3 linked regions of the Drosophila melanogaster genome follow. The protein of the gene in region 3 interacts with the protein of the main gene of each other region in a pairwise test. Each region holds a gene or a part of one and is shown on either strand. Other genes may lie near its edges. The genes, in order: hng2, CG10431 and CG16863.

The links.
Region 1: the proteins of CG16863 (region 3) and hng2 interact in a two-hybrid assay, tested with the Drosophila melanogaster proteins (one large-scale study listed by BioGRID).
Region 2: the proteins of CG16863 (region 3) and CG10431 interact in a two-hybrid assay, tested with the Drosophila melanogaster proteins (one large-scale study listed by BioGRID).

What each region holds. Positions count from the first base shown.
Region 1 is NT_033777.3:8,801,082-8,810,382, reverse strand, and holds hng2 (hinge2), read right to left. Parts: upstream 4,062-9,301; 5' UTR 4,018-4,061; coding exon 3,804-4,017; intron 3,751-3,803; coding exon 3,200-3,750; 3' UTR 2,802-3,199; downstream 1-2,801. Other genes in the region: CG9837 (uncharacterized protein), read left to right, coding at 601-654, 716-1,285; CG9839 (uncharacterized protein), read left to right, coding at 4,885-5,191, 5,257-6,818; CCT7 (chaperonin containing TCP1 subunit 7), read right to left, coding at 4,364-4,590, 6,981-7,304, 7,378-8,197, 8,264-8,524, 8,703-8,705.
Region 2 is NT_033779.5:18,967,141-18,978,687, reverse strand, and holds CG10431 (uncharacterized protein), read right to left. Parts: upstream 3,979-11,547; 5' UTR 3,912-3,978; coding exon 3,841-3,911; intron 3,784-3,840; coding exon 1,566-3,783; 3' UTR 1,492-1,565; intron 1,426-1,491; 3' UTR 501-1,425; downstream 1-500. Other genes in the region: Swip-1 (Swiprosin-1), read left to right, coding at 1-333; L2HGDH (L-2-hydroxyglutarate dehydrogenase), read left to right, coding at 4,650-4,771, 5,229-6,086, 6,141-6,528; Tango6 (transport and golgi organization 6), read right to left, coding at 6,706-7,208, 7,269-9,470, 9,529-9,589; Nak (Numb-associated kinase), read left to right, coding at 10,273-10,435.
Region 3 is NT_033779.5:13,787,480-13,797,471, reverse strand, and holds CG16863 (uncharacterized protein), read right to left. Parts: upstream 6,514-9,992; 5' UTR 6,445-6,513; coding exon 6,308-6,444; exon of another isoform or gene 6,255-6,307; coding exon 5,877-6,254; intron 5,808-5,876; coding exon 4,337-5,807; 3' UTR 4,208-4,336; downstream 1-4,207. Other genes in the region: Sec71 (secretory 71), read right to left, coding at 1-2,576, 2,844-3,624; Eato (engulfment ABC transporter in the ovary), read right to left, coding at 7,171-7,615, 7,682-8,684, 8,752-9,375, 9,436-9,673, 9,776-9,959.

The sequences.
Region 1 (9,301 bases), on a different chromosome or scaffold from region 3:
GATTATATTTATATAGCACACATTTTTTCTTAAATTGTTTAAATTTTTATACCAAATGGGAACTATATCCATATCAGGCAATTAATATTAACTGCTTTTTGGATCACCCTCAATAATGCATACAATCTGCATACTCATTGTTTTATTACAATACAACTACCACTAATTAATATTAATAGACCACATATGATATGGCATTCGTTTAGTCAGTTTAAGATAATTCTGAATTCTGTATACCCTCGGCAGGTTCAAAGAACTTACTAGTTTCCATAGAGGTCATATTGGATACGAAGCTTTCAGCAAATTGAAATACTTGCTATTCCAAGCGCCTTGAAATGGTTTTAGGTTGGCAATCGCTCACCTCACTGTATTGACTTTTCATCTCGGCGAACACGTGACTTGCGCTTTGTCTGGCAATATGTATTCCCATAGCTAGAAAACTCATTGAATGTGAATGAATCTGTTATCGGTCAAGTGGGAACGATGTGTGATAACCCCGTGGTTTGATAAGCGTCGATGTCGAGCTTGGATTGCATGAAGTGGTCTGATCGTGAGATTTCAGCTTGGAATCAGTCAAACATTTCCCAGTTCACCGACAAGATGTGGTCCTCTAAGACTATTTTGGTTTTCCTAGCAGCATTTACTTTGGTCCAGGCATGTTTCCGATTGTGCAAGCCTGCTGGATGTTTCTTAACAAAATTTCTAATCCTTATAGGGTAGCATGCGGTTTCACTTCACCTTGGACTTTCACGTACAGCAGCCGCCGAATGCATCCGACACCATCGACAAGACCATTATTGTGGAGAACGATCGGATATCTATGGTGGACAACGAAGGAGCGACTACTAAGGCTCCGATGACCCAGTGGACAGATCAGGATCAGTATAATCAGGACGCATTGCTGAAGGTGACCGATACGCGCAGATCGGTGCAACAGCTGAATACGGAGCTCTCACCCCTGGTTGGCAGGAGCACCGATTTGGCCAGAAGGATTAAGCAGAGTATGCGATACGTCAACGAGGTGGATGCTAATCTGGACGATTTGAGCAACTTTGGGCAGCTGGTGGAGCTGCTCAAGAAATTCGTAATCCTAGTCGATAACCTAAGGGATCCAAACAATCTCGGAGGCATTCGAAGCCTGGAGTACGTACTCCTGAAGTTGGCTCTAGAGAAGTACGACCTTCTGAACAAGCGACAGGAGATCGGTGAATACTTGGAAAGGGCGGAGAGTGCCTGGCGAAGATACCAAAACACACAGGTGGTTGTTCTGGATAACTCCACCTGAGTCGGGCTCAGATGCCTAGGACCACCACATTAGGAACTTAGTTTTAGGATAAAACAGAACAAAGACCAGCATCATGGGTCGACACAATCGCTGCACCATGATCTACTAGAGCGGCTCGGCTCTTGAAAGGAATAAAAGACATCGAAGGGACTTCCTGTCTATTATTCGATTTCACTGCAATGCCCAGAATTGCTACAGGTATGCGAGGGGAGGTATTCCAGGGGTAGAATACCCTAAATTCCCTTCGGTGCCCGGTTTCGTTAAGGCTGGAAAGTACGTTACACACGCTGGGAATGCCTTTGTACACTGCAAAAAATTTAAGTTAGACCTAGAAGAGTAAGCAATCATGATAAATAAGTATTTTACCCTAAACAAAAATTCTGCTTGATTTTTATTTGTTTTATTTTTCCCTAAAAAACTGCACCTGCAATCATTTTCGTGAAGTATTGATTTATTGATATTGATGTAGATTTCCTATCAGTAGAATCTACATTTCTTGCATAGCAATTCATTTAATCTAATCAAAATAACAGTAATAAAATACTTAAAAAAGAAAATACGATAAAGTTTTCAGTGCATTTCCATTCAGCAGATGCAGGTAGTCGGAATCGAGGAACTAAGGGACCTTTTAATAGGGTAGAACAGCTGCCAGAGCCGTTGCTAATAGATGAAGTGGAGGGTAGGGTCCCGAACGCGGGCAGAAATTTCCGAAACCCGAAACAACCACTAACAAAAACCATATGCAGTTAAGTGGGAAATGGAATGGGGCGATCCCGAGGAGAACGGCATCATCAGGACGTTACGAGTACCATTTGTCGGGTGAATTGTGGGGGCGGGTATTCGGGGTAACGATATCGTCGTACCCCCCATAGATGGTACTCAGGGAATTCCCAGCAGTGTGGAACGCTTGAAAGCCGACACCGCATCCAAATCTCTGTGTTACCCCTATGGGTTCCTTAACGGTTTTCAGCGATTTCTTTTTAGGGGTGTCGTCTGGAGTGTCGACTTATAAATACGCTCGTACAATCCATAAATGTGCCTTTGTGTTGAACAAAAACCATGAAGAAATCGGTATACATAATGAAAACTCGATTGGCATAAGAGGTACAAGCTGTATGAATACAGGTTTCAACTCTTTTTTGTATCAACATCAGCCGAAACTGGTCAAACGGCTTTGGAACATGGGCCATCCGATGGCTTATGTATCGTTTTGACAGTTTATGTTTATACTAAAATTTCGCTGCAGGCGATAAATATGTATTGAGACAGCATCCGGCCCAAGAAAGTAGTGGCTAGGGGGATGAATAACAGAACATGGGATTTATGTAAAAATATCAATTACACATGTGGACAATTTGCTTGCATACATAGTTAATATACATATGAGCATATATATTCATATGAAATTCCATACAAATCCATGTTGTATGAAATTGATATTGAAACCCACGTATAAAAATATATTGCCGTCGTTAGATAATTTATGGTTTAAAACAAAATAAAATGCATATTTTTTATACATTATTTAATGTTGTTTTTAATGTTTTTTTCATTGTCTTAAATAACTCTACAACTATTGTATTATTATCAAAAATTACAAAAGTAAGCGTATAATATATACATTGCGCAAAACACAGAAGTTACTATGAGAAAACTATTTGACGCATTATTAAGAACTAAAAAAAATAATTGAATCATTGGTTGCATTAAAGTTTAACCCCTGGTTTGTGAATATTATTGTTTGTATATTAAATTACAAATTACAGTTCATTATTTAAATTTCGCGCCCTAAAGATTAGACGATTTACGATAACGATTAAATGTATTCTTATTGCTTATGTTAACTTGCTGTTAAACGAATTTTGCCCTTCTTGTAAATGCATTTGTAAATGATTTGACTTCTGTAGTGAATATTCAATTCGGCTTGAAGTTTCGTAGGATTTTCAGGACCTCGATCTGAAAGTCAAGCTTGCGATCGGCGCACATCTGCTGCATGTGAGGCTTAATGGTGTCGAAGAAGGCCTGATCAGGATCGGCGGACAAGTAGGCGGTATTTGTACTGCAGGGTGGATCTGATGGTAACTGTGGAATATATGCGATTTCCGGAGTGGCGGTGTCCTCCTTGGCGCAGCCCAGATCTCCCAGAACCGTATTTATGTTGCTTGGTATGGCTGGATTGCGGATGGCAGGCTCAATATTCGATTCTTGGTCGGAGTTTCTCTTTCGTGGAGTCTTTGCAGATCTCTGTGCGGCAGTGCTCACTCGCTTCCGTTTGGCCTGGGGCTTGGGTTGCTCCTTCAAGGATTCTACATCGTCCTCCGACTCTGCTTTCACGTTCAGCAGGAAACTCAGTTCCTTTTCGTAGATGTAGGAAGCTCTGGCCACCTCCTCGCCACTTTGACGTAGTCGGTTGACCCGTAGGTAGCTGTCCCTCGTGTTTTTCCAACGTTTGAGCAGTGTTTTAACTGGAATTGGAAGTTATGTATGATATAGACTCAAAAAGGTAGCCACCACCTACCTATTTCCTGCTTCTCCGGCTCGCTGGAGTCGTCAAAATTCGAGCAAAGCTCGTGGCCAATTTGCTGCCAGGCCTCATCTCTGAGTTCGCGGTTATGGAAGTTTGGGTGGCTTCGTTCCCATATAATAGAACGTTTGTGTACCGCGTCAATGAACTCGTACATCGAATAGCGCAAATTGCTTCCTGCCGATCGAAGAACTTTATGATTGCCCATTATTTATTGTTTATTTAAGGGTTGGATTGGATTGACAATATGTTGCTTGCGTTTAACAGCACCACGGGCAGCTGCTTAACAGCACTCCCCGCAGAGTTGCCACCTCGCCCCGCATTTAAACTAAAAACGTTCTGATGTTATGAAAATACAAATTTCAATTTTGTGTTTTATTATTAAACATATACAGATAGGTCAGTGGATTATTGTTGCTGTTGTTCTTGCTTCGAAGCGTGCGAAATGCGAAGGTATGACCGAGTAATACGTGTACGTGTTAAATTAGGAGAGAAATGCAAGTGAGTTTTGATGATTAGGGTGTAGTGTTCTCTGGATTTCTGAATGATTCTATTTACATGGGCCTGCCCATTCCGCGGCCCATTCCCATGCCACCGCCGGCCATCGGGGGTTCTCCGGCCTTGGGACTCTTTATTGTCTCATCGACGGAAAGGATCATGCAGGCTGCCTCGGCGGCCGCCGTCAGTGCATTGATCTTAATGATGGACGGCTCCCAGACGCACTGCTCATAGTTGTCCGAAATGTCTTCCTTGTTGATGTCGACGCCGTACCACTGTCCTCCTGTAAAAAGGTAAATGTATAAAATTATAATAATTATTAATTAGAGTTCAAAATTACACGACCGATTTGAATTCGCCAACGATTTTTGCAGGTAACATTTCGTTCAGGTGGCAACGCCGCTTACAGCCCGCGCAATAAACGAATTGAGAAGGTGCGAAAGAGCACAACATACAGCACATGTGACTCGAGTGAGAGAGGACGAGTGACAGTGAGGTCGAAGAAAAACACGCGTTGCTGCGGCTAAAATTTCCTCTGTATTTACATTATTTGGAAGAGAAAACGCAGCCAAACGAAATGTCCAGCTCCGGAAGAAAGCGCAAGCAGCAACTTAAGCCGCGTCAGGACGATCACCGGTCGCCGGTGAAGCGACGCAGTGTGGACATCAAGTCGGAACCCTTGGACGGCTATCCGGCGCTAGCAGACTACGATTTAAGTACGGCCGATATCAAGCCGGATCTCACTGAACTCCAATTGCAGCTGGTGGCGGAGCAGCAGGCGGCCAGCAACACCATTCGCTTGGAATTGGAACAGCAAGAGAGTGATTCCGACGAGGATGGCTACTCAGAGCTCGATTACCAAGCTGAAGATGTCTTCTGTCAGGGTAAGAAGGGTGCTCCTCCCGTCATTTCAAGACCCCACTTATAAAATTATCCTTTTTAAACCCAGACGATATGGATGACTACGATCCAGATTGGTCCAGCCAGCAGACGGGTTCCCGACTGCTCTTCAAATTTCCCATCCAGCAGAGTGGCCTGAAATTCGGACAACGCTTCCAGGGACCACAGCACTACTTCAACCAAGTGCTGGGAAATCGCTCCAAGTTCTTCAGTTCCCTGGCCCAAAGCTGCAACCTAAAGGGAGGAGAGCTCAAGTCCAATCCCACAACTGCCGAAGAAATGGAAATCTTTATGGCGCTTTCCCTGCTTATGTGTGACCTGAAGCTGGAGCACCTATCGGATTACTGGAGCACTAACATGTTTTACGGTCTCGTCGGATTCTCTGGGAAGATTCCTCTGGAACGGTATCAGCAGCTGCTGCACTGCCTTAACTTTGATGCACCGCAGCTACAAGCGGGCAGAGCCAAAGTGAAGAACTCTCTACTGCTAGACTTTATCAACGAGCGTATGGAAGAGATATACATTTGTGGCCAGCAACTGGTGCTCAATGAACCTATCACTCTGTGGAAGGGTGCATTAAGATACCAGGATGAACTTCCAAACAAATTCCGCACCAACGCACTACTGCTGCATATGCTAACTGAGCAGAGCGGTTTGGTGGTGAAGATTCTACCGGAGATTGTGCGGAAGGAAGACGCACCGGCATGGGTACGCAATTCCCGGCAGTTGGTGGAGCACCGAAACAAGATTGTCCTGAAACTAATGGAGGGTTACCATGGAGGACGCACTGTGTACACCTCAAAGTTCTATGGAAGCTACGGCCTGGCTCAGGAGTTGGCCAAGAAAAGCACCTATTGCACTGGTCTGCTGGACAGGAATAGATATGGCAACAGTAAGGCACTGGTGCACCAGCGGTTGGATTCCAACAGCATCTCCACCAGCTATGCCACTTCTCTGATGATGGCCAAATGGCGACGACGGGCAAAGAGCTTGTACTGCTTCAGCTCTGACTGCTTGGCCATTTATTCCAAGGAGATGGCCATGCAAAAGACAAATGCAAAACCTAAGTTGATCCAGGAGCTCGAGTTTCAACTACGACCTGGAAACGACGGTCGCCACCACCTGATCCACTACCAAGCTGCCTGCAAGGAGCTGAAGGCAAACATAAAGTTGACCATTTTCCTACTCAACATCCTCGTGTACAATGCCTATTTGCTATACTTTGCTAATGGCCAGAATGCGCGAGTCGGACATCTTAAAAGTTACTCGGAGTTCCGGGTGATCATCATAAAGTCGCTTCTAAGAGAAGAAGTGACGAACGAACCGGTAACTAGTATCCAGAAGCCAGAGACATATGAACGGTCAAAGAACAAGCCGGTGCCCGAGCCCAGGTTGAAGACCATTCTACACGAACCCATGCTTATCCAGCAGAACGGGAAGCCGGCCAAGAAAAACTGCCGCTATTGCCACAAAGGCGGAATGCTGCAGTTCAGCAGGTACATGTGCAACACCTGTCCCGATAAGCCGGGTCTATGCCAGGAACCCTGCTTCCTTCTCTGGCATGAGCAGCTCAAAAAAGTAATCAGACAGACAATTGGACGAAGTGAATAAAAATGGATTATCATTCGTTAAGAGGAACAAATGTTTTTTGTTTAAAGTTTCACACACAAGTTCTTTAAAATAAAAACTTATCCTTCCCCCTTTCAAATATAAATTTCAAATTCACTCATCGTTAAGGTGGCTTTGTATGGACAAATACCATTGGACACTCACCCTGGGCGTGCTTCTGGCGCAACTTGTTGAGAATGTTGGTGGCATCGAAACCGGCGTTGTCGCACAGCTGGCGAGGAATGATCTCCAGGCCCTTGGCGATGGCAGCAATCAGCAGCTGCTCCTTACCGGCAATGGTGCGCGAATAGTCCCGCAGCAGCTTGGACAACTCCATTTCAATGGCACCGCCGCCGGCCACAACGGAATCGTGCTTGATGGTGCGCCGCACGATCATAATTGCGTCGTGGAGGGATCGCTCAGTCTCCTCCAGAAACTGTTCGGCACCGCCACGCAGAATAAGGGTGCTCGTCTTGGCATTGGGGCAGCCTATTTAAAATGGAAAATAACAAGTGGTTGTTAAAACGAGTCCTTCAATTAAGTATACGAATAAGATTCTTACCTTGGAAGAGGTTGAAACGTTCGCCGCCCACTTGGCGCTCCTCGAAATGTTCGCACAGGCCGAGTACATTGGGCTTAATGTCGTTGGCCGTCGTCATTACGGCTCCACCGCAAGCCTTCATGGTGCGCTTAAGATCTTCTTCGGGAACGCGGCCGGCGCAGAATATGTCGCGGTCGGCGAAATACTGTGTGGCCACATCACCGATGGGCAGCTTGGAGAGGACAACATTGGCGCCGGACTCGTGGATCTTAGCCAGCTTGTTGTAGAGGATCTGCCACTCGGCGTCGACCACCTTTTGGTACTCCTTGACGTTGTCTACGCGGATCTCGGCGTTATCGCGCTCAGCCTTAAGCTCCAATTCGATGTTGAGCAGGGCAATTTTGCAGTTGTCATAGGATTTGGGGGCCATTTCAAAGCCGGCATAGGAAAAGGTCTTCTTGAAGGCCACACCCGACACTAGCTGTGACTCCTCCAGCGAGCCACCGGTCACCTTCTTAATTCCAATCATGTTGAGGGGCAGCAGCTCATCCAGGGAGAGCACAGCATCGACTACAATGCGGGAGAAGAAGTCCTTCTGCTGGTGAATCAACTTGGAGGACATGGCAGTGGCTGCGCACTTCTCAAGGAGAGCACGCTGCTGGTCCTTGGACTGTTCGACAATTTGGACGGCCATTTCGTTGATCTTTTCCATGCAGAGCTGCAGGGCCTTGCGGATGGCCTTAATGATGACTCGTGGGTGCACTCCCTCCTCCACGAAGGGTTTCACCTGCTTAAGGAACTCGCCGGCCAGCAGAACCACGGACGTGGTGCCGTCACCCACCTGAAGGAGAAGTCGAATCAAAGCTTTAGCAGTGTCACGTGCGTCTCAGGGGTGCCAATCACTTACCTCGGCGTCTTGTGACTTGGCAATGTCCACCAGGGTCTTGGCCGCCGGGTGGATGATCTCCAGCAGCTTCATGATGGTGGCTCCATCGTTGGAAATCGTCGCCTTGCCGTGGGCATCCACAATCAGCTTGTCCATGCCGCGGGGACCCAGAGTGGTCCGCACTGCGTCCACGATCGACTGGCAGGCATTGATGTTGGACACCAGTTGCGGCTTGCCCTGCGACGAGTCAGTGCCTTCTTTGAGGAGCACGATTTGCGGTTGCTGCGGATCATACGGATATAAGGCGAATATATAGTAAAAGTCTCCAATTAGTCAGCAGATGTCGTCGGCTTGCGAGAAGCTTCTTTGCAGGTTATGTTTACAATCTCATGCCGCTCGCGGACGAGTCCATGATTGGGATTCACTTGGTTAGCCTCGGATTATTTCCAGCCGGACTTACCATATTTATGTGATGGGGTTGGCCTTTAGCACGTATTACAGTTTAAAACAATAAAGTTCCTAGCAGACAGGCGGCAACTTGCTTTTCGTTCACGTTTTCCGCGATGAGTAATGGGCCAATCGATTAATCGTTGTTATTTTGTATTTAATCGATGCTTGCAGCCAGTGTGAACGTTTGGGGACTTAGTCGCACTTTACAATGAAATTTGAAATCCTAACTCATAAAAAACTATCTATTTATTTCTATCTTGCGATTTTTTAACTTTATGGTACAAAGCTAGTTTCCACACTTTTTGATGAACATTTTAAACTAATATGATATGCAGCTGGTAGTTGTTATCGAAAAAGTTATCGATGGCTCCATGACGTCACTCTTGACCGGCGAGCGGTTTTTTGAAATTGCTCCCAACTTCAAATATAGATTTGTGATTCCTTCTATTTATATAAATTTGGCGATGCACGCACGCATGTCGCTTATTCCATTTTAGAAAGTGCGCCGCATCTTCAGTTTGTTCCTACCGCTCAACTTGAGTGAGTTGTGCACCGAGCAGCAATTAAATGAAAAATAGAAGAGTCATTTGAAAGGCCAAAACGCCAGAA
Region 2 (11,547 bases), 5.2 Mb from region 3:
CTGGGACTCAAGCAGATGATTGCCGAGGTGGACGAGGATAACGATGGCAAGATTTCATTCCGAGAGTTCTTGCTGATCTTCAGGAAGGCCCAGGCCGGGGAACTGGACTCCGATTCTGGGCTGAATCAGCTGGCCCGCCTCACGGAGGTCGATGTGGAGCAGGTGGGAGTGAGCGGAGCCAAGAACTTCTTCGAGGCGAAAATTGAGCAACAGCTGCGGACGAACAAGTTCCACGACGAGATTCGGGCGGAGCAGGAGGAGCGCCGGCGAGAGGAGGAGGAGCGGGCCCAGCGGCGTCAGCAGTTCCAGCAGCGGGCAGCGATCTTCCAGTAGAGGACTTAGGTTCGCCCTTAGTCTAGCGAGTAATTATCTGGCGTAGGTTAATCGAATGTGGAACTAATCCCGGGAGAAGAGGATACGCTTCGTACAAGCATTTTTCAAGCATCACATACTCTAATTATATTCATACTTATCGCCCCATACATATAAAAACTCGATTTGCTGGCAAAAACATCTTGGGAATTGAATGTTATCTTTGACTAATGTTTGTTTTGGATCTTTGAAGTACCCATCACAACTTATCAAGTAACAAAATATAACGTTCAATTTCTAATATATATTTTTTTAAAACCAACCAAACTGAGCCACTCTAGCCAGGGACATATGCATACATACGTACATTAATAACGATCATACCAAAAGCGTATTTATAGTTAACCTTTAGTTAAGTTTAAAATGTTTTAGATTAAGAACTACTTTATTGTTTGGTGTTGCGCAAAATTTCATTGTTGAATTACGTTTATCCTTGAGGGTTCTCCAAAATGTATGCTTTTTACTTTATGATTTTGTACTTTTAGTGCCATTTTTATGTTCTTCGTTTTAGTTTTGTTAAAAATAAAATTGATAGTTATATTAAGCAAATAAACTTGTGAAATTCAACCTTCTTTGTATATACTAATCCTATGTTGGCAGTCAATCTTAGTTTTTTGCTTGGATCAGCCTAAAGTAAAACAATAAGTTTCGATTCAGTATTTCACGTTTAAAGTTAGCGATTTAAGCAATACTAATGCGTTAAATACGAATACACAAGAAAATACACGTACTTTTAGAGAACGTTTACTACAAACTTATACTGCAATTTAAATAAATAAATGTATATAATACAAAATATTTAAGATCGCCTTTAGTTTTCCCCCTTTCAACCTTTTCAAAAATGTTGTTCCGATTTGCGAAACCTCGTTCCTGCTCAATGAAGCGTCGGTTTAATTAGGTTAAATTACTTATTGTAAGTAACCTTGACTAGCGCCAATTTCATTCCCGCTGCGAACCCTTCATCACCTTGCGTGCCGTACTGGAAGACCACCAACTAAGTACCCCATAGAGTGACTAGGCTTAATGCATTTAGTGCATCGAGATTCAGATCATCTGTGGAAAGAAAATTGTAGTGGCGTGTTATCGCACATTGTTTTTTAGAAAACAAATTGGTTTTACCTCCAAGATTATAGCATTTGCTTGAGTAAATACCATTTCCTTGTCCAATCGTGAGTCATCTCCAGGGCTTCCTGTTACTCCCCGGCAGCTGGACCTTTTCGCAGGGAATGCCTGCACCTCAGCATATCGCATTTCAGGGCGTAGCGATGCTGGCAAACCGGACACTCATGCGGCTTGAGCTGCAGGTGGTAGCCCTTAATGTGTTGAGACAATCCGTTGCGTCGCTTGAAGACCCGCTCACAGATGCCGCACTTGTGTTGCCGCTCCGTCGAGTGGGTGATGTTATGCTGGCGTAGTCCGTTGAGCGAACCGAATGATTTTTTACAAATATTACACTCAAATACTTGGGTGGGCGTAACTTTCTTTTTCGAATTCATTGCCGTCTGCACCTTAGTTTTGGATTTTTTGGGCCTGCAATTGAGTTCATGACGACGATACAGGCGCCAGTGGGCAAAGGCGATGGCCTGGCAGTGGCGACACTTGAAGCTCTGAAGGCGCCGATGGTTTTTGAGCGACAACGATTGACATATGTATCGCATATGCTGGCGAAGACCCAAGCGGGATCGAAAAAACTTTAGGCAACCAGAACAGCGTCCTGAAAAATTGGGTATTAACTTTACAAAGTGTGCTTTCTGACGACGGTGGTGGTGTAAGTTCTTAAACTTTGAAAATCCCTTCCTGCACATCCGGCACACATAGGTTTTTCTGTGCACCTTCCTTGGTGACTTCAGTTTTTTGCATTTCAGCTGCAACTTACGATACCTGTTAGCCAGTTTAGCGTAGCTAGCAGTCACTGCAACCAGTTGAGGATCAGGTGCGGGTGCTGACAGTTGAGTGGCTGTCGGTATAAGGTCTTTGTGATGCAGGAAACTACTCTGCATATCTAGTATATCAATCTTTTTCCTAGGTTGCTTGGATACAGGACTATTATGCCACTCCAACGGCCAGTATTCGGATTGTTCAGTGGCCACAAGACCTCTGTTGCTTTCCATTTTCATTGGAGGGTTCATGGTTAAGCTGGGAAGGCATATATTCATCGGAGGAACACTAACCATGGGAGTGGAATTACTGTGACTGTGTGCATAATGCTGATTTAAGCTATCTATTGTTATAAATTTGGCAGTGCACAAAGTGCAGTTGTGAAGCCGAAAAGCCGCTGAGGATTCGACCACACTATCGTTAAGTACCACGATGTTGGGTTTGATCGACGTGGGAGGAGCAGGCTGTGGCAGCAGCTCGCAGATCATTGGGTTAGGTATCTGGCTTACATTGGTCACAATGGGCTTGCATGAGCGCGGTTCGGGGGCCGAGGGAGGGTCTATATTATCCTGAAGAGGAGGGGGATCAGCAGGCGGAGGAGCTGCGTCTGGCGCAGCATCCGTTCCCTCCACCTTTTCCGTTTTGTACTGATGCGGGGGTAGTTGCCACTCCTCCTTCGCATAATTGTGCTCTTCGGTTAGGAGTTCGTTTTGCAGCATTTCATTAGCCGTTCTTCCAGGCTGTAGTCTCTCCGACTGTCCCACATCCGCATCGTCTGGAATATTGATAAACGGATCGTCCAGATTGATTATCTCCATGATATCACAATTGTTGATAATGTCTTGGGCATTTAGCATAGGGAACTCGCAGAACTGAAACTTTTGTTCAGTTTCTTCCTGATCGCAGCCATCGTCCTGCTCCAAACCCATGTCCAGTTCATCAGGAAAAAGATTGTCCAAGCTCTCGCAGGCCTCCTGTTTCACACGAACCAAGGGTTCCTGTTTGATTTTCAGTTGTCGGCGGTATTTTCTTTGCAATTCACTCTGCGCCAACATCACCACATCGATGAACTGGGAAAAGCGCTCCAATTGGAGGCAGCACTCCTGGCATATTTCCTTGGGCAAGGTGTCGTCCTGAAGAATCTGTAGCGTAGGAAAGCACTTCTGGATCATGCCAAAGAGCTCAAAACTCTTGTCAAACGAGGAGCAATTGATGGCCGAGGAACCACAAAAGCGGCAAGTGGCTTTAACACCTGTTGCTGCTGATTCGGCGGCACTAGAAAGAGTTTGCTTGTGCGTTGGCCTATTGCTTGGGGACACCTGTTCCAAGTGCCCACTCATGGAGTCATCTTCCGAAACCCTAATTGATGGCACAGCATTTTTCTTAAGCGTTTTCCGATTATTGCTGCAATTAAAGTCCTCATCACCAAAGTGCCGACTGCACAGCGCACTCCATTTTGAGGGCATCCACTGAGCACTCCTCTGGGTAAATTCCTTCCATTTCTGTAGAAGATCCTTCCGTTTGAATGGAAATCTTTGGGAGAATAGAAGCTATAGTGTAATCTTGTCAATTGAAAATCAACTCACTTACCTGTGAAATGAAATGCTGCCCGCGTGCACATACTTATGGCTGCAATTTATCACGGCGCAGTGGGCGGGCATCTTAAGGTATTTATGGTACAATAATTTGTAATAATTTGCAAATTTCTGTTGTTTACATCTGTGAGCTAGCTGTTGTTTGCTAAATCAGCTGGTTTTGTTTTGCTTCTGAAGTGTTCAGTGTTGGAAAATGCGTCTCACATATTGTTGATAGCGGTCTTTTTTCTTGCAGTTCTGAATTAATAACGAAACTTTATTCATTTGTGTTTGCTATCAAATACGACCAAATATAATGGGATTCCGTATCGAATAAAAGCAAATTTAGGGTTAAAATTATATGTTTGTTTCTTGTAAATACTTTTTAGTCGAGTAATCAGCATGATCGTATAACCTGAAATATTTAAAATGAAATAAAAATTTTAATATTGTTAGATTACAGAAAATTTGCAAAATGGCAGCTGGGCACATTAAATCTTATCAACAAACCGAACAGCTGACACACACGTCCTTACCCAACCACCCCCTTTCAAAAATAATCCGTCACACTTATCAATTAGCGCGTTTATGATCGCCCCTCGGCCCCACAAATCGCCCAGATGCTCGGCCCGTGAGCATATTTATTTTCTCTCGCCCCACGGAAAACTTCCACGGGCTTCAGTCTGTCGATTCGCTCGAAAGCGCGCTGTACGCACAAGTTGGCGGAGGAGAAGGCAAGGTCAAGCAAGGTCTTTCTTTTCGGGTTGGTAAATAATCTAAATTCTACGTGCGTGCGCGGGTGGTGAAAGCATAAAAGAAAGAGAAATGGCTCAGGTGCGACTGCTGGTACAGGGACTTCGGCGTAGCCTACTCAATGTGGGCGTGGCCGCGCCCAACGAATCCACAGCGACCCACAAAAGATCGCAGCACAGCTCGTCGAGCTGCGGGTAAGTCTCTTGAGATTACGATAGGGTTCTCTCATTTTCGGGGGTGTTCCGATCCTAAGAATCTTTTCACTGTTTGCAGAATATCATTTAGGTGTTCCAAATGAGCTAAGTAAGCTTCTTTTCATTTAGAATGCGCTTTTAAAATCATGTTTAGTTAAGCAATGTATATTCTATTTACTTTTGTATTCTTAATTGCATAGCATAGTCTTTTCACTGCAATCTGCAGCCTTTATCTTACTTATTAGTTCCCAAGATCTCGACGTTCTTGCGGTCTGACAGTCGATGAACATATTGATATGGCTAGATCGACTTGACTGATGATCCTAATCAAAAACGTGCCCGCACACTCTTTACTCTAACGGATATACAAACATCTTTCTAACTTTTAAAAACTTTAGAAGTCTTAAGTTTATTTAATTTTTGAGGCTGTTAGCTGATATGTTTTGTATTCCCTCAGAGATTATGATCTGGTTGTCGTTGGTGGTGGCATCGTCGGCGCCGCATCTGCCCGGGAGATTGTCCTGCGCCATCCATCCCTCAAAGTGGCTGTCCTGGAGAAGGAGTGCAAGCTGGCAAAGCACCAGAGCGGCCACAACTCCGGCGTCATCCATGCTGGCATCTACTATAAGCCTGGAACCCTGAAAGCCCGCCTTTGCGTGGAGGGCATGCATTTGGCCTACGCTTATCTGGATGAAAAAAAGATCCCGTACAAGAAAACCGGGAAGCTAATTGTGGCCACGGATGAGAAAGAAGTGAAGCTGCTGAAGGATTTGGAGAAGCGTGGCATTGCCAACAACGTACCGGATCTGCGAATGATCGAAGGCAGCGAGATTCAGGAGATCGAACCCTACTGCCAGGGAGTGATGGCGCTCCACAGTCCGCACACTGGTATCGTTGACTGGGGATTGGTTACCGAGCATTATGGTCAGGATTTCAAACAGTGCGGTGGTGATATCTACCTGGACTTCAATGTCAGCAAGTTTACCGAGACCAAGGAGGGCACCGACTACCCAGTGACCATCCATGGCGCTAAGCCCGGTCAAACGGTTCGTACCAAGAACGTATTAACCTGTGGCGGTTTGCAATCCGACCTGCTGGCTGAGAAGACTGGATGCCCCAGAGACCCCCGCATCGTGCCTTTCCGTGGAGAGTATCTGCTGCTGACCAAGGAAAAACAGCATATGGTCAAGGGTAATATTTATCCGGTGCCGGATCCACGTTTCCCCTTCCTGGGAGTTCACTTTACGCCGCGAATGGACGGATCTATCTGGCTGGGACCAAATGCCGTTCTGGCTCTGAAACGCGAAGGTTACACGTAAGTCTTCTTAGAGCTCATATTTAAACTTGTCTGACACTTCACTTCTTCCAGCTGGGGTGACATTAATCTTTTCGAGCTTTTCGACGCCCTGCGCTATCCGGGCTTCGTAAAGATGGCGAGCAAGTACATCGGTTTCGGACTCAGCGAGATGTCCAAATCGTGGTTCATTAACCTGCAGATCAAGGCGTTGCAGAAGTACATCCCGGATATTACGGAGTACGATATCCAGCGTGGTCCCGCTGGAGTACGTGCCCAAGCAATGGATCTGGATGGCAATCTGGTGGACGATTTTGTTTTCGATCGCGGACAAGGATCGGGAGCGCTAGCCAAGCGAGTGCTTCACTGCAGAAACGCCCCATCGCCGGGCGCTACTAGTAGCTTGGCCATTGCCAAGATGATCGCAGACAAGATCGAGAATGAGTTCTCTATCGGCAAGTGATGCCTCTATCCCAAATAATGTAACCAAAGTCCAAAACTAAGTCCTATTTTCTGTTCTGCCTTTATGTCAGTAATGTCTGTACTGATTCGCCACTATCGCATTTCTTTTCGAAACTGTAATATTGATCTATTGTGTATAAAACAAAATTAAAACTTGTGTAGGTTTCTAAGATAGCCTTTAATTCAGTTCCAGTATATGTCGGTTTCTTCTTTGAGGTGAATCATCGTCCTTAATGCCCAACACCTTAATCTGCTTCTGTAATGATTTCTCCTCCAAGGCAGATTGTATCAGTTTTGTGCACTTTTTGTTTAAAATTTTCAGACCGTTTGCAGCATGCTGACGCATTTGAGGATCACAGGATTCATCCGCTTCAATCGCTTTTAAAAGGCGATAAATGGGGAGTAACATTTCCTGGTAATCCAGAAGGTTCTCCATGCCGTTTAATAGTTCAGCTAAGACCAGGACTGCTGCACGCTTAGAGGGAACATATCCTCCGGTGGTTAATTCGCTATTAACAAGTTGGAGTAACTCGTGGAAGAAGTTCTGCACTTGAAAGGCCAAAAGGCGACAAAGCTGGGCAAGATTGGCAAAGGCTGACATCCGGAATTCGTGAACAGGAGACCGGGAGCCGTACATGAAGCAGTTGAGAAGAACAGCCTTGTATCGAAAGCAAAGAGGACCTGGATGGGATTAGTATGAAAGTTTAGGAGTTATTCTTAGCTGTGTAGAACATTGCTTACCCAACTCCTGAGCGACTTTCAGAATAGCTTCACCCACTACGAGGCGGTAGTCTAAGTGAGCCGTCTCTGATAGGTACTCATCACTCAATTTGTCCAGCACATCGGACTCCATCACATGAACAAGCGACACAAAGAGCCGAACACAATTTAAGAAGGTGTAGGATTCCTTATCCTTGAGAGTGGTCAGGGCTAACGCTATGATAAGTTGACCCTGCGCTAAGGTAGCAGGATCTCTTTTTTTCAGCAAATCAATCATCATCTGAATTCCATACACTTGCATGTGGGATTGTTTTTCCTCTATCAAGGACCGAGCTCTTTGAAAAGGTTGTATTTTAACAGCCTCACTTGGTCGCCATGCGCCGTGAATTATTGTAAGCAATGATTTTACAGATTGCTGGATAAGAGGGTTGGAAGATCGAGTACCCAACAGGTGCAATTGTTCTTTCAGTTCCTTACAGGCCTCTGAAAGTTGAATATTCTCACTGCCCTCAAGAATTTCCTGCAAGAGGTTTAGAACGAGAAGTAGGATCTGATCCGTGGTATCTTGCTCTCTAGATCGGTGGACAAGCAAGTCTTTTAGTATATGTAGAAGCTCCTTGGTATGTTGTGATAGCTGAGCTCTTAATGGTTGGTGGGCTACCATTTGGTTTAAAGCAATGAGCAAATCTAGCTTCAGTTGATATTTGGAGTGCAGAAAGTCTTTGAGCTCTGCTTCTGATGAAATAAAATCTACGCTGGCTGAAGATTTATCATTTATCTGTTTAGCTATGAAGCCCAGAAGAGAGAGGAAAACTTTGCAGGTGAGGGAATGATGAGAGCTTGATGTGAGTAGACCGGGCAATATTCTGCCCATATCGTGATCTGCTAGATGATCTTTGTGAGCTACTTTAACCTGAATTTGAGTTGTGTTCATGGAAGGCAGGATTATAATGCGTGGGTTTAAACACTTCCAAGGAGGTTCCTTCTCAATTTCCCATTTAAACAGCTTCTGGAGTATCGCAGGTAATTCGTTTTTCATTTCTCTGTTGTCCAGACAACGCAAAATAATGGCAGAAATCTGCGATGACGCCGGTAATTCCATTGGAAGGCCATCGTAGAGTTGGAGCAGCAAAGGAAGGTAGGGAACGAGTAGATTACTGGGTAAGCAAGCTACGGTTGAAGAACAAAAGAGATGCTGCCATAAGAGAATGCGATTGCACAGTTCCTGGTGATCCATTAAGATAAGGCCATTAATAATGTCTTCTGGGTTACAAAGCGTTTCCCAGTGTTTGAATAATATTTCTTTTATCAGCTTTTGATTTGTATCACTTAAATCGTAAAGTCTTCTGAGCGATAGGACACCGGCGCACATTTTGTCCGCATTCTGCAGATAGAACTTACAATATTCTAGCACCTGGAGAACCATCTTCTCTTGCGCTAACTGAGAAAATCCTTTTCTGGCCACAATACTAGCCACAATTTCCGCATTTCTGGAAGAATTCACATTGGGATTTTGATGCAGGGCCTCAACAAGACTAGCAAATCCTTGGGGTAAGTGAAGCTTTCCTAAGAGTTGACGGTGCAATAATTGGGCCAGAGTTGGGCAGAGAGTCGTAGCTTTAAAAAGCAAGATGTTGCGAAAGAAATCTGCTTTGGATTCATATTGCCAGAGGTAGGCTATAGCCTTATCCAGCAGTGGAGAGTCTTGCTGCACACGTAGACTCACAATGGCCGCCAGTAGATCCCTTTGCACCAGCTCCATCGAGTTGGCTATGTGGTATTGTCGAATATGCAGTAGATTAATAAAGAACTGAATGCTTAGAAGCATCAATGAAAAGTTAGCTTTGATTTTCCCCTGAGCCTCACAAAAGATGGGCGACTTGTAGAAATCCTCATGTAGCTGGCATCGAAGCGAGTAATATGATAATTCTTGGGAAGCCTGGATACACAATTTCAGGTGCGCTACCGAAATAAGATCCTCCTTGGCGTCGCTGTGGAAATTAATGTTCCTCATGATCGAATGTAGCACATGTTGCAATCTTATTATATAGCATATAGTACGATCCGAATCGGGATCAATACTAGATTCGTGATCGTCTGTTAACTGATATTCCAGGCACAGCTCATGCAATTGCTGACCAATCTCGAGTTTAGCATATTTTTCCAAAATTCGCAGGTTGATTTCCAAGGCTTCGGCAGTCCCTGAGTTATTCGCCGTATTTGCTGTCGAAATATTAGTATTAGGGATACTACAATTATTATATGATGTTAACCAATTTACCTAGAGCTTTACTAAACCTTAAACTCTCTAGAAGAGCAAAGTACTTGGCCGTATTTATCATTGTTATCCCAGCAAACTACAATTTTGCGAATTTAGCGACCATTTGCTAGAGATGCTTGTTTACAATTGCACCAGCACAATCGATAACATATTGATAAGGGAAACACGATGTTGGCAGCATAGCTAATTAAAACTGCGCGATAGTTTAATGCAACTGTAGCTATATGTTTTATTGAAAGTAGAACCATATTATCTTTTTAAATTGGATCAAATTACAAAAAATTGTTATCATAAAACCTATTTTGTAAACGGGGATTTCCTTGTTTTCAGAATTTCGAGATTGCAACCAACTTATCTATATATCGATAGGCGGCTGCACCAGCCGCGGGTTGCGCATCTGACTGCAGCAAAGCGCCCTGGTCACACTGGCCCAACAACTCGAGAGCAGCAGGAAAATCGAACAACTTTCTTTTTCCACTGCATTGTGTGTGTGCATGCAAAAACACAAAGTGCGCAGAATAGCTTTATTCAGCTAGCCGATACGACTCGAAAGTGGATTAATTGGCCAGCGGCACCGACGCCCCGCCCACCGTCAGCCGCCCTCGCAAAATTAAAAATTGCCAAAAACACCTACGCGCAGGCAATTAAGACCGTGTTAGCTAGTGTGCGTGTGTGCTCGCGAGTGTGTGTGTGTGTGTTGTGCTGCTGGGGCAGTAAACATTTTCTAGTGAAAATCGGGGGAAAATGAAGAAAATCCTGTCTAAGTTCGAGCGCAATGAGAACTCTCGACTGGAGAATCCGCCCAACAGCAGCAGCTCGTCGTCCTCGAACGAGAAGAACAGCTTCGTGGGCAAGGTCTTCACAGTGGGACGCGTCACGGTCACCGTGGAGGATGTCCTGGCAGAAGGTAGACGACTATATATACACTCTTATATATGTGCTCCCATTCCCCTACCTACAACACGTCGCCCGCGATTATGCTTATCACCTGCCTGATTTACAGGTGGGCAGTAGCCTGCCGTCCGCTTTTCGGTCTCGCCCCTCGTCACAGATTAGATAAACCCCTTCAGCGCGAGAACTCCCAAATGTGGGGCGTACTCAAAGCGCTAGAGAGCATAAAAATCAGCTGCGTATCCTCCATAATTGGGGACACCACTTGTCGCATTTCCGATTAAATCCAAATAAATTACTCCCAATAATTTCTGTATAAGATGTTAAACTCAAAACAGCTAAAATCTGACTTTGATATATTATCTTTTAATAAAACTGTAAAACATTTTAAATTATTTCATTAATTATGAATACTAAATACTGGTTTGTAACCTAAATTCCAACTAATTGAACTGCAATTTTGCCCTTGGCATAGAACTACATATTTATGTCCATAACTCGGCTCTCTAATGGCGTGCAGATATTTCGTCCAAATTTATGTCAGTCTTTAAAGAGTTTATTTTTGCCAAAACCAGAAATGCCAGCATTTCTATTGTGACAAATGGGTGTCCGCGTTAGAGAAACCCGACTGTACAAACACAGTTACGGTTCTGGTTGGTTTTTCCATGGAATACCCATTGAATTCCCGTAGCCACTACACATGGCCACAAATCAATTGAATCAATTATGTTAATTTAGCCAATGAAGCGGCAAGACCAACACTCATCAGCCGACTGTCTCCGACAGTCTTCCGTTTTTCACCTTTCGCCGAGCTAAATGGCAAAGTTCGCCCCTAAGGAAATCGCCTGTGCTGTGTCCTTGTCCTTGAAATGCGGAGTGCTCCACTCCACATCATCCTGCAGTGCAAGTGCCTCCTTGTTGGCCTGGCACCAGTACCCTCCGCCCAACATTTGATCATCTAACGATTGCTCACCCACCGCCTGGCCAGCCATTCGCCACCTTTCCTTTAGCCATTACGTAGTGTTTTTTACTTTTTATACTTTTGGCAAGCGGACTCGATTCGTAATTTTGTTTTGCGCTGCGCTGGCGCCGCTGGCAATTAGTCAGCTGTTGTCGGGCATACCCTGT
Region 3 (9,992 bases):
GCAGCGCACCACCATATCTCGTATTGCCGGCGATGCGTTTTTCTTCATGATATGCTCAAAGGGACGCAGGAAATCCTTCTGGAAGCGGAAATTACTGAACTCGCCCTTCTCCATGAACTTCATCGACAACTGACGCAGTGAGTCCAGGGCGAAAAATGAGATCTCCTCGTTGCTATTGCATCCGACCGCGTTAAAGTGCTCACCCAAAACTTGCCAAATGCGTGACCACTGCAGACGAATACGCTCCATGTTGTAGTAACTAATTTCCACTATCTTTTGCAAGGAGAACATCCTCGGTTGCTGCTGCTGAAGCTCATCCACAGACACCTGGCACAGGGCCTTCACGAAGTCCACGATAGCATCGCCATCCAGTCGCATTGAGCCGGTGAAAATACGATCGACTGCGACCACCACGCTCTGGCTGCTCGTCTCGCCGATGTGTTCTTTCACGCTGGGATTAAGCGAGTCCTTGAGCGTTGTCTGCGCTCCAGAAAGAAACTGGGGCCGCACCCCAGTGCCGATCAGTTGGGCCAGCTCCAACTGGCTAATGCACTTCACTATATCCAGCCAGCTGCTGCCCAGATAATTGCCATCCGTGTGGGCTACCATTATAAGCGTCTTGATGGTATCGATATTCTTGGCCTTCATTTCGTTGATGGGCGAGTTAGCATTCAGGAGAGTAAACCTGGCCAGGGCTTGTACATAGGCATCTCGCTCCAGGGACATGTGGAAGATGCATGCGATTCGAATAGCACAACGTATACCATCCAAGCAGAGTGTAGCAATCTCAGGATCGTCGCAGTCCTGGAGACCCACAGAGAAAGCGGCCAGAAATGGTGTCCAAGCCATTTTGAACATGGGCCGGACATGCTCCAAGTGTTTCGCTGAGGTGAAGGGTGACTTGACGTGCGAAACTGACTGCATTAGATTGGTGGCCGTCAGCGAGATGACCTCCATCTCCATGTTCCACAACAGCTTTCTGCGTTTCTCCGTTATGAAGGCCTGCTTTCCAGTGGGTTTCGCCTGTTGAAGCATACCGGAGTTGTTCTTCATCTTAATTTCGTGTTCAGAAATCTCGTCGTAGATGGACGACAAGTACTCCTCGGGCAAATCGGACTTGCTGTCGCTGATGCCGCGGTTCATTTTAATGTACTGCTCCTTGGTCATCTTGTGCTTGACCTGCGGCGAATGAAGATCCGTGGTCAGCATAATGATGCTGAATGCCAGCACGTAGACGGTGTCTGCGCTTTGGAATAGCTGGTTCTTCGGATTGCATTCGCAGTATCTACTGGCGAACTTCTCCATCAGCCGATCGATTTTTTGTGCTTCTCCTGGCAGGCGGAACCCCTCGAGAAGAAATCTCAAGGCGGCCACCACCTCCATTTGGCGAAAGTCAAAGGCATCGATGTAAGCGCACATCACTTCCTTGGAGTGGTCGTCATTCTCGCCAATGTAGTTTCCGATCACTGTCTTGTCCAGTCGTTCGTCCTCGTGCAGCCAGCGCGCAATGTCCCCGCATGTGGCACCCAGCAACTGCTTCTCCTGCAGGAATTGCACTCCTTTCTGAGGCTTACGATTGAATAACTCAATGCCTGTTTCCATCACTTCCTTGCGCATCTTGCGCTCCTCCAATGCCTCGGGAAGATCCTGTAGTTGCTCCTGATTGGAGTTCAAACTATGACTGGAACCACTGTGCATCGTTTGGATAGTTGTGTCCGCCTGATCCTGCTCAGTGCTTGTCGGCGATTGGACTTGCATAGGTGGAACCGGCATGTTTGGATTAACATACAAGTCCTTACTCCACTCTACCATGCACTTAAGAATGGAGACAAGACACTCCAGGCCGCGAATGCGCATCGATTTCTCTTGCATCGGATTGGCGCCCAGTTCGAGAGCCTGACGACCCTGGGCAATTTTCGAAAGATCGTTGACCAGTCTCTCAAAAAGGTTTGCAGCCGAAAAGTCGCAATCGTAATTAACATAGATATCCACCACGGACTGGGCGTCAGCACAAATACGTGTCAGCGCTTGGATTACCATCCATTTGTGCTCGAAGCTGCTTGAGTTCGCCTCAAGAATGTTTAGGAAGATTTCCTTGAAGAACACCTCTATCTGCCGCTTAAGATGCACCTTGAAGTTCGAGAGTAGGGCAACGAAGATTGAAAGCGACAGCTCGAAGACCTCCGGCACCAGACTGACTCCGTTGTTTGACAAGGCCACGCACAGGTACTGCTTAATGGCCATGATGAACATCTCGTTGGAGCGGAAGACGGGCCCGGCATTCTGGAGGATGAGCAGCAGCAGATGCAATGACAGCACCTTGGAACGCAGCTCGTGCGATTTCGGATCTGGATGTCCATCCGGCAAAGGCTTCATCGATAGCTTGCACAGTGCCCGGAACACGAGAAAAGCATCTTTCTGCAGGATGTGCGTAAACTTAGCCGTTACAACCGCATCGTTTTCGCTGTGCAGCTCCACACTGTCGTGATCCGAGTGCGAGGAGTAGTCGTTTCCATTAAGTGTTGGCTCTGGCTCACCGACCGATTCCTGATCCTTCATCGCCTCATTGTAGGCAGCTGAAAAACGTAACTGTCATTATTTTCGCGCAATGATAATTAGACGGTTTGGAGGAGTGGAATTTTATGTTGGACCTTATCGTATCGTACTGTAAATGATTCATACAATTTTTTCCCATCCGATAAGAAATATTTTATGAACTTAATTACGTTTCTTGAAAATATTGAAAAATAGTTAAATCTAAGCGAGTTAAGTAGAATAATAAGCAACTTCAGCTTAACAAGAAACATCTGTTTATCAAACTTTCTCCACCGAGTGCCACGCACCTGATATGATCTCCGCCAGCAGTTCCGAGGCAATTACTTCGTCGGAATCCCGCAGCGACTCCTCTCCCGAGCCATTGCAATCCTCCGAGTGGATGCTGCCGTTGGTGGGATTGGAATTGGGAGGTGGTAGCTCGTACACTTGATTCTCCATGCGGGCAAATATCACGTTCAACATTTGGGTGAGCGTAGCGCGTGCTGTGGTCTGATTGACCAGGTTCTTGCTGGACAAATAGATGTCGTAGCAGGTGCGCACAGCTTGCAGCAGTGTGAATTCATGGATTTCCACATGCTGCGAGGTGACCACCGTGAGCAGAGCCTTTATTATCTGCAGTTGGACGGCCTCGTCCGTCTGGGGACCACTGAAGCAGCCATATATGGTCACAACGATACGGTCGATGAGCAGGTGACCCGGATTGGCCGAGTCCTGAATGGATCCTGTCAAATGGCCATAGGCAATGAGTTTCTGCAGGCAGTCCAGTGCGGTGACCACGATCCTGGGCGAGCGGCTCTTGCAGGCAAGCTCGAAGGGGAGAAAGTAGGTCTCCGCATTTATGATGCTCGCTGCATCATTCTTGGGCAGCGGGAGTGCGGCACAGGGCAGCTCATTGCCCTCTGCGATCTGGCCGGCACTGATTAGCTCCGCCTTAATCTGCTCCAGCGCCGAATCGCAGGACTTCTTCAGCTGCGAGTGATGGGAGCGCCGTATGTCCTTATCGGCAAGGATCTTTTCTAGAGCACGCACGATGAACATTTCCTTGGTTTTTGTGGAGTTGTTGTGCATATTGGGCCGCTGCCACTCCCAAGGTCGCCTTCGCTGGGTGGGTTTCGATGCCTCTTTCCCTACTACCACTGCTTCGGATTTCCCTCTGCCCACCGCTTCCGGAAACAACAGCCACGCAACTTTCGCCTGCTGCCTTCTGGGTGCTCCGCCAGCTGTGCGGAGTGCTCCTCTCGGTTGGATTGTCGTGTGGCGGCACTCGGTGAGTTTTTAGCGTGTCGTGGATGTTTGCATGTTGCAAATCTCTCAGTTTTTCCACATTTACATTCCCTTCAAAATACGAAAAAACGTCATCAGAAGTGTGACCGTGTAAGCGAAAATTACTGAGCTGTCGGCAGTGTTGGGAAGTTTTTGGTATTCTCTCGGTTTTGGTATTTTTGCTAATTTGCTGGTGTTATTGTTATTTGAATTTGTAACGGCGATTTGTGATAACAAAAGAAAAAAGTAAACAATAAAGTTATATTTAAAATAAATTATTTGTGTAAATATGTGTAGTAAATAGTACTTACAAATCTTTAATGAATATGTGTTCGTTATTCGTTCCCTACCTCTAATTTTCTAATACAAAAATAGTTCCTTAACGCTTGAGAAGCTAAAAAGTTAAAAAATGTATTTTATAGTTCGCATTATTGTAAATGTAAATTAATAAATTAGTTAATAAAAGGGGTACAAAAACACAGTGCTCAACTTAGGTTTGGATTGATTATGGACTACGCTATAACTGCCACTCCTTCGTTGGAATTTCCGCCATGAAGAGTATGTTTTCCATGTTGTTTTCGATTAGTCTGGCGTACTGCGCCGCAACCGCCGCTCCTTCGGCCGTAAATAGCCGATCCGCCGGCTCTGCGGTGGCCGGAACGTGCAGGTACCTCTGTGCTACGTTGTGCAGGAAGGGGTGAGCTTCGGCCAGTTCCTCCCAGAGCTGAAAGGGATCGGCTCGCAGGGTACTCATGCCGGCGCAAAAGTATCTGGCTATCTCATCGTCCGCCTCGGGACCGTTGCTGCCGTTTACAATCCTTTGCTTCCCATGCGAAAAGGATTTGAATGCCGCCCAGATATCGTAGTGATCACGGTTCTCCGGATGCTTTGCAACAGCTTGCTCCCCGCTGTCCACATGCGCCTGCATCATGTCATAGAGTTGAGTCATGTACTGGGCCACCAGGGCCCCACTCCGGAAGGGAATATTTCGAAAGCGTGGGTCCAGCAGACTTGCCAATGCCAGGTGCAAGTTGCGCTCCATTCGTTCGAAGATCTCCTCCAGCTGCTGAACCAGGAACAAGCGTATTTCCCTGGCAACCATGTGTTCCGCACTCTTCTCCTGCTTCAGTTCGTTGATCAGAGTTTGGGCAATGGGCAGGGCTGTGCTGGCCGCCGGATATGGTGTTCGACTTAGCTCACGCATGGAGCTGGTCAACGGCCTCAGCACGTCCAGCAATTGCTGACACAAATCCACCTCCGATGTCGAAAGCGGCAGCGGCTCTTGAACGAGAGTCTGTTTCAGGTATAAGTCTAGCATATTGTACACACTAATCGGTCGGTGTATGGAATCCAGTTGGGGATTCAGCTGCAATGTGGACTGCACATGGGAACGCACCTTGTCGCGCAAATGACGTATTTCTGGGCGCTGCACCACCTCCTCTAAAATAGAATTCAATTGGTCTGCGAAGCAGGGAACATGATGATGAGCGCCCATGAACGATGTCACCGCATCCTCCAGTAGTTGACTGCTCCTTGTCGACACGCAGCAGATCCTTGACTTTGGAATGTCGAAGCGCTGACACACTTGGTCCATGCGATCCACCAGATCGTTGGAGGTGAAAAGATCGGGAAGGCGCAGCACAGAAAGAGTTCGGGAGATTCGTTGCCGCCCCTCGTGAAAGTGGGCCACCAGCTCCATCCAGCTTCGACTCTCCGCATTCGTGTGCACCGAGCAACTTAGGCTGAGTGTCGAGATGTCGGCCAACTGCTGGCAGAGCTTGGACCTCTGCGCTTCCGACTCCCTGCAGATAATGGCCTCCAGTTTCGCCGCACTCGGTGGTCTGTAGGTGGGGCACAGTACTTTCACTAGGTGCTGGAATCCCTCGCCCTGCACAATCTGCAATGACTGGCGGTCACGGCAGACAAAGAAGGCAATGTCCTTGTGAAACGGACTCTCGCTCGGCAGAGGTTCTTCCATTTTTAAGTTGCTGGGTAATAAATGAAGTTTACTACAATTGTATCTATCTTCTACCTTCTATCTTTTGATTAAAACTTACTCATGGCCGGCAAATGGTACAGCATGAATTTGGGGAAGTGGGCTTTTCTCCGACTCATCGAGCTCCTCCTTGGGTTCGAATTCGATGATATCGTCGCCGCCAACCGTCTCCGTTCGGGACACTGTGGCCTCCGGAGAGACCCACGCATACCCGACGCTCTTTGTTGAGATGCGATCCTCAGCAGCCGCCTTGATCATTCCTTGATCATCCAGCTCGATAATGCCGCTCGCATCCTTGGCAGCCTTGAACAACAGCTCGCTGTGGAAATCAGAGCTCTCTTCCTTGAAGGGAACAACCTTCCGGAATCGCAGCTTGTCATCCTGCTCCCGCCGCTTGTATATGCCCCGCTCCACCACCACATCGTCGTCGAAGAGGTTTCTTCAAGAAAATTTTCATTGTGAAAGGTTTTTGAACTCAGGAGCCTTTCCTACATCTGCGGATGGGTCTTCATGTGCTTCATCAGATTGGACGTGTTGCCGCTTGTCTTGATTACTTTCTCGCAGAGCTGGCACTGCGCGGAATTCCGATCCAACTTGTCGTAGAACTTCCATATTCTGCTACGCGACATATTCGGCATAAACGATAAATTAACGACGAAAAAAATGAATATTTTGTAAATAACGCTACATTAGTGTGGCCAAGTGGGAGATTTTTTGAGAATTTGACATTTCCATTAGCGCCTAAGTCGTCCAAGTAATAATAGTTTTATATTTATTTTTCTCATAATTAAATATTCAATAGTCAAGCTGGATAAAAAAATTACATTATGTATTACTTTTAATTCTTGAATGAATCGTTAAATTCCAAATATAGATCGTTTAAAGTTCCTTTTGGTATTATTATGAGTGGTATTTTAAAAATACTAAGGCGGGAGATTTTAAATTAAAAAAAAAAAAAAACGGGAGAATGCTATAGTCGAGTTCCCCGTCAATCAGATACCTGTTCCTCTACCAATAGAAGGGTATAAAACTGTTTTTAACTTCTTTTGAATTATGATAATTTACCTTAATCCCATAATCAATGCACATCAAATATTATGTAGAAATATTTATTATAATATAAATAAAAAATATTATTTATTTGTCGTACTAGTTATATCTTACTTTTATATTTTAGTTTTATATACCCATGTCGAAGGTGTTTGTTTGGTTTTATTAGTCCCTAAATACATTAAGTAGATTATTCCCACCGGATAGAGATTCATAAAAGTTCCATATTTGAGGGAAATAATGAAATGTACGACGCCCGTCTTCTGCTTATCTTACTTGATACTCCGACACTCCGACTATCTGGCCTAAACGTAGCTGCATTCCGGCCTGCGTTGCACGGAGGTTTGACGTGACGTCGATTGTGATTTCGCCTCTCTCTCGAACTTGAGGAAAATATCCTCGAGTGTGCACTCGTTCACCGAATAGTCGGCCACGAGAGCGCTTAAGCGATCGCCCAGATATTCCTCAGCTATCTTGAAAACACTTGACCAAAGGACCACACTCTCCTGCGTGCTAACAAAGTAGGTGAGTGTGCCGGCATGGCTCTCGCGCAGTTCCAGACCAGGAAACTCTGACTTCAACGTGCCAGTGATCGTGGACACATTCATCTCCGTTTCGGTGTCCGCCTTCATTTTCAGTTTTATCGTGAAGCCGCTTAATCGCTTAAGGGCGCAAATATTGTTCAGACACTTGAACTTTCCGTGCGCCATGATGGCCAAGCGATTGCACAGCTCTTCGCACTCGTCCATGCTGTTTGTAGAGAATGTGTACACTTTTGAATCTGTTTGAAAAGGAAATATACTTTTTTGGGCTTACCTATGTGATGTGAGCACCACTGTTCGATCCTTTCCCTGGAAATCCTTGATGCATTGCCAAAGAAATCGTCTCGAGATGGGATCCACACCGGTGGTAGGTTCGTCCAGGAGCACCAGTGCGGGTGCACCAATCATGGCCATTGCCGCCAGAAGCTTGCGTTTCGTGCCGCCCGAATAGTGGCGCACTTGCACCTTTTGATATTTGGTCAAATGCATCTTCTCTAGCCAGTACTTCACGTGCTCCTTGCAGCTGGCTGGTCCATCGGTCCTTCGGCGGCTCAGGCCGCGCAGCAATGCCATGTAGTATAGGCACTGCTCGGCGGTCATGAATTTATTTAGTGCATCGTACTGAGGGCAGTAGCCAAAGTATTCCCGGTATTTCAACTCATGCTCGCGAATGTCTGCGCCTTTGATGCGGATAGTGCCACCATCTAGAGGCAAATTGGCCGCTATCATCTGAAAGGTACTTGTCTTACCCGCTCCGTTAACACCCAACAGACCAAAGCATTCACCCTGGGCAGCCGCAAAGCTGACTCCGTCCACAGCCAGCTTATCGCCGTATCGCTTGCGAAGATTGTGCACAATCAGTGAATGGTCGTTCAATGGGTCTTTTATCAGATCGGTAACCCGTTTTTCCTCCCTTGCACAATCATCAATTTCTGAGATCGGAGTACTGGGAAGGGTGCCTGTCGAATTGTATTTCTTTCTTTGGAATGCCCATTCCCAGATGCCATCATGAATTCGTCTGCGCAGATACTTGTGTTCCAGGACTATGGTAAAGAATGCCATGACCATAACACCCACGGCGGTGGCATAGGCAAAGAAGGTGTCCTGGCTGATAAGACCCTTTATAAGTGCCGGATGGCGTCGGGTTATAAAGTTTTCATTGATGATGCGAAACTGGTGATTAAGATTGAAGTCCGGTAGGAAGCAGAGGAAGGCGATCTTGGTCTCATGCAGTTTCATGGCCGCCGCATTGCTGGAGGTGATAAGTGGGGCAATGGCTAAAAGAAAATGGGTTTTATAGTTTTTCTAATTGTTGTCACTGGTTATAAAATCAAATAATATTACCGGACACAATCAGCATCAAAAGCAAATAAGTAGATATCGTGGATATCGACTTAAAGTTGTTTCCCAGGGCGTATAGAATGGGCAGGTAGCTGCAGCCGTAGAAAAATATGCTTAACACAATGACCTTAAGTTCAGCCGTTGTATACAGCTCCGAGGGCATCATCAAGGATTGCAGACTGAACAGGGCAACGCAGACGAAGATCAGGATCAGCATATCAAAAGTAAAATGCGCAAACCAATAAGTAAATCGCGACATGGTCTGCAGCTGTTTGAATCCATTGGCATATTCCCGAAACGGCAATGAGATGAAATAGAACATGAAGAAGAACATGCCGATCGGCACGATGACCGCATAGTATTCGAGGCGCGATGGACTTATGTCGCTAACAAATCGACGAATTGGCACGTAAGTCGTATCAATTTCAGACTCTGGACGCCCTAGCTTCAGCATTGCCGAGTCCACCAGGTTGATAAGCTCCACAGAGCTGTGGTAGCGATTGCCTGAGTAAAAAATCTCAATGGTGGGCGTATCGGAGGTGCCACGCCCACCTCCGTACATGTCAATAATGCCAATCACCTGCTCCAAGAAATCAGCCAAGTTGTCGCGTTGTAAGTCAAGGGATTCTAGAGAACACATGTATTGATAGAGCCATTAAAATGTTTAGCACAACGTCGCATACTCACCATTTTTCACATCATTACTCCCACGCAGGTGCATTGTTTTCGCTGTGATTCCATTCAGCTCGATCTGTTGACGCAGCTGCTGCTCCAAATGGGCGTGATGGCCCGTTGGATTGTGAACGTATATAACGCCACTGCCCATCTGGCTGAGCTTCAGCGGCAGAGCCTCTTCGTTCTCCACCAAGGACATGGCGTGCATCACCAGTATAGCCCCGAATACGCATACAAAGGGAATGCACAGCTAGCGAGAGGGGAGCACAAAAAGTTTTTAGTTCGTTTTAGTTTTAGTTGTTTTCGCCGTTTATACAACAGAGCAAAGTCCTACAAATTGCTAACAACTTACCATTATCAGAGTATATAACCATTCATTGGAAATAAAGGTCCACTTTTTGTAAAACACAGCCATCCAAAGTTGAAAAAGTCCGCGATGAGGGGGATGGTCTTGGAGTCTTTTGTAGTGTGCCAGTAGCGGCGCATCATTGCGCGAACCATCGGGGGTATCCACTTGATCCTGTTCGCCTGCGCATCTAAAACACCACATAAGATATTAAAGCAAAAAC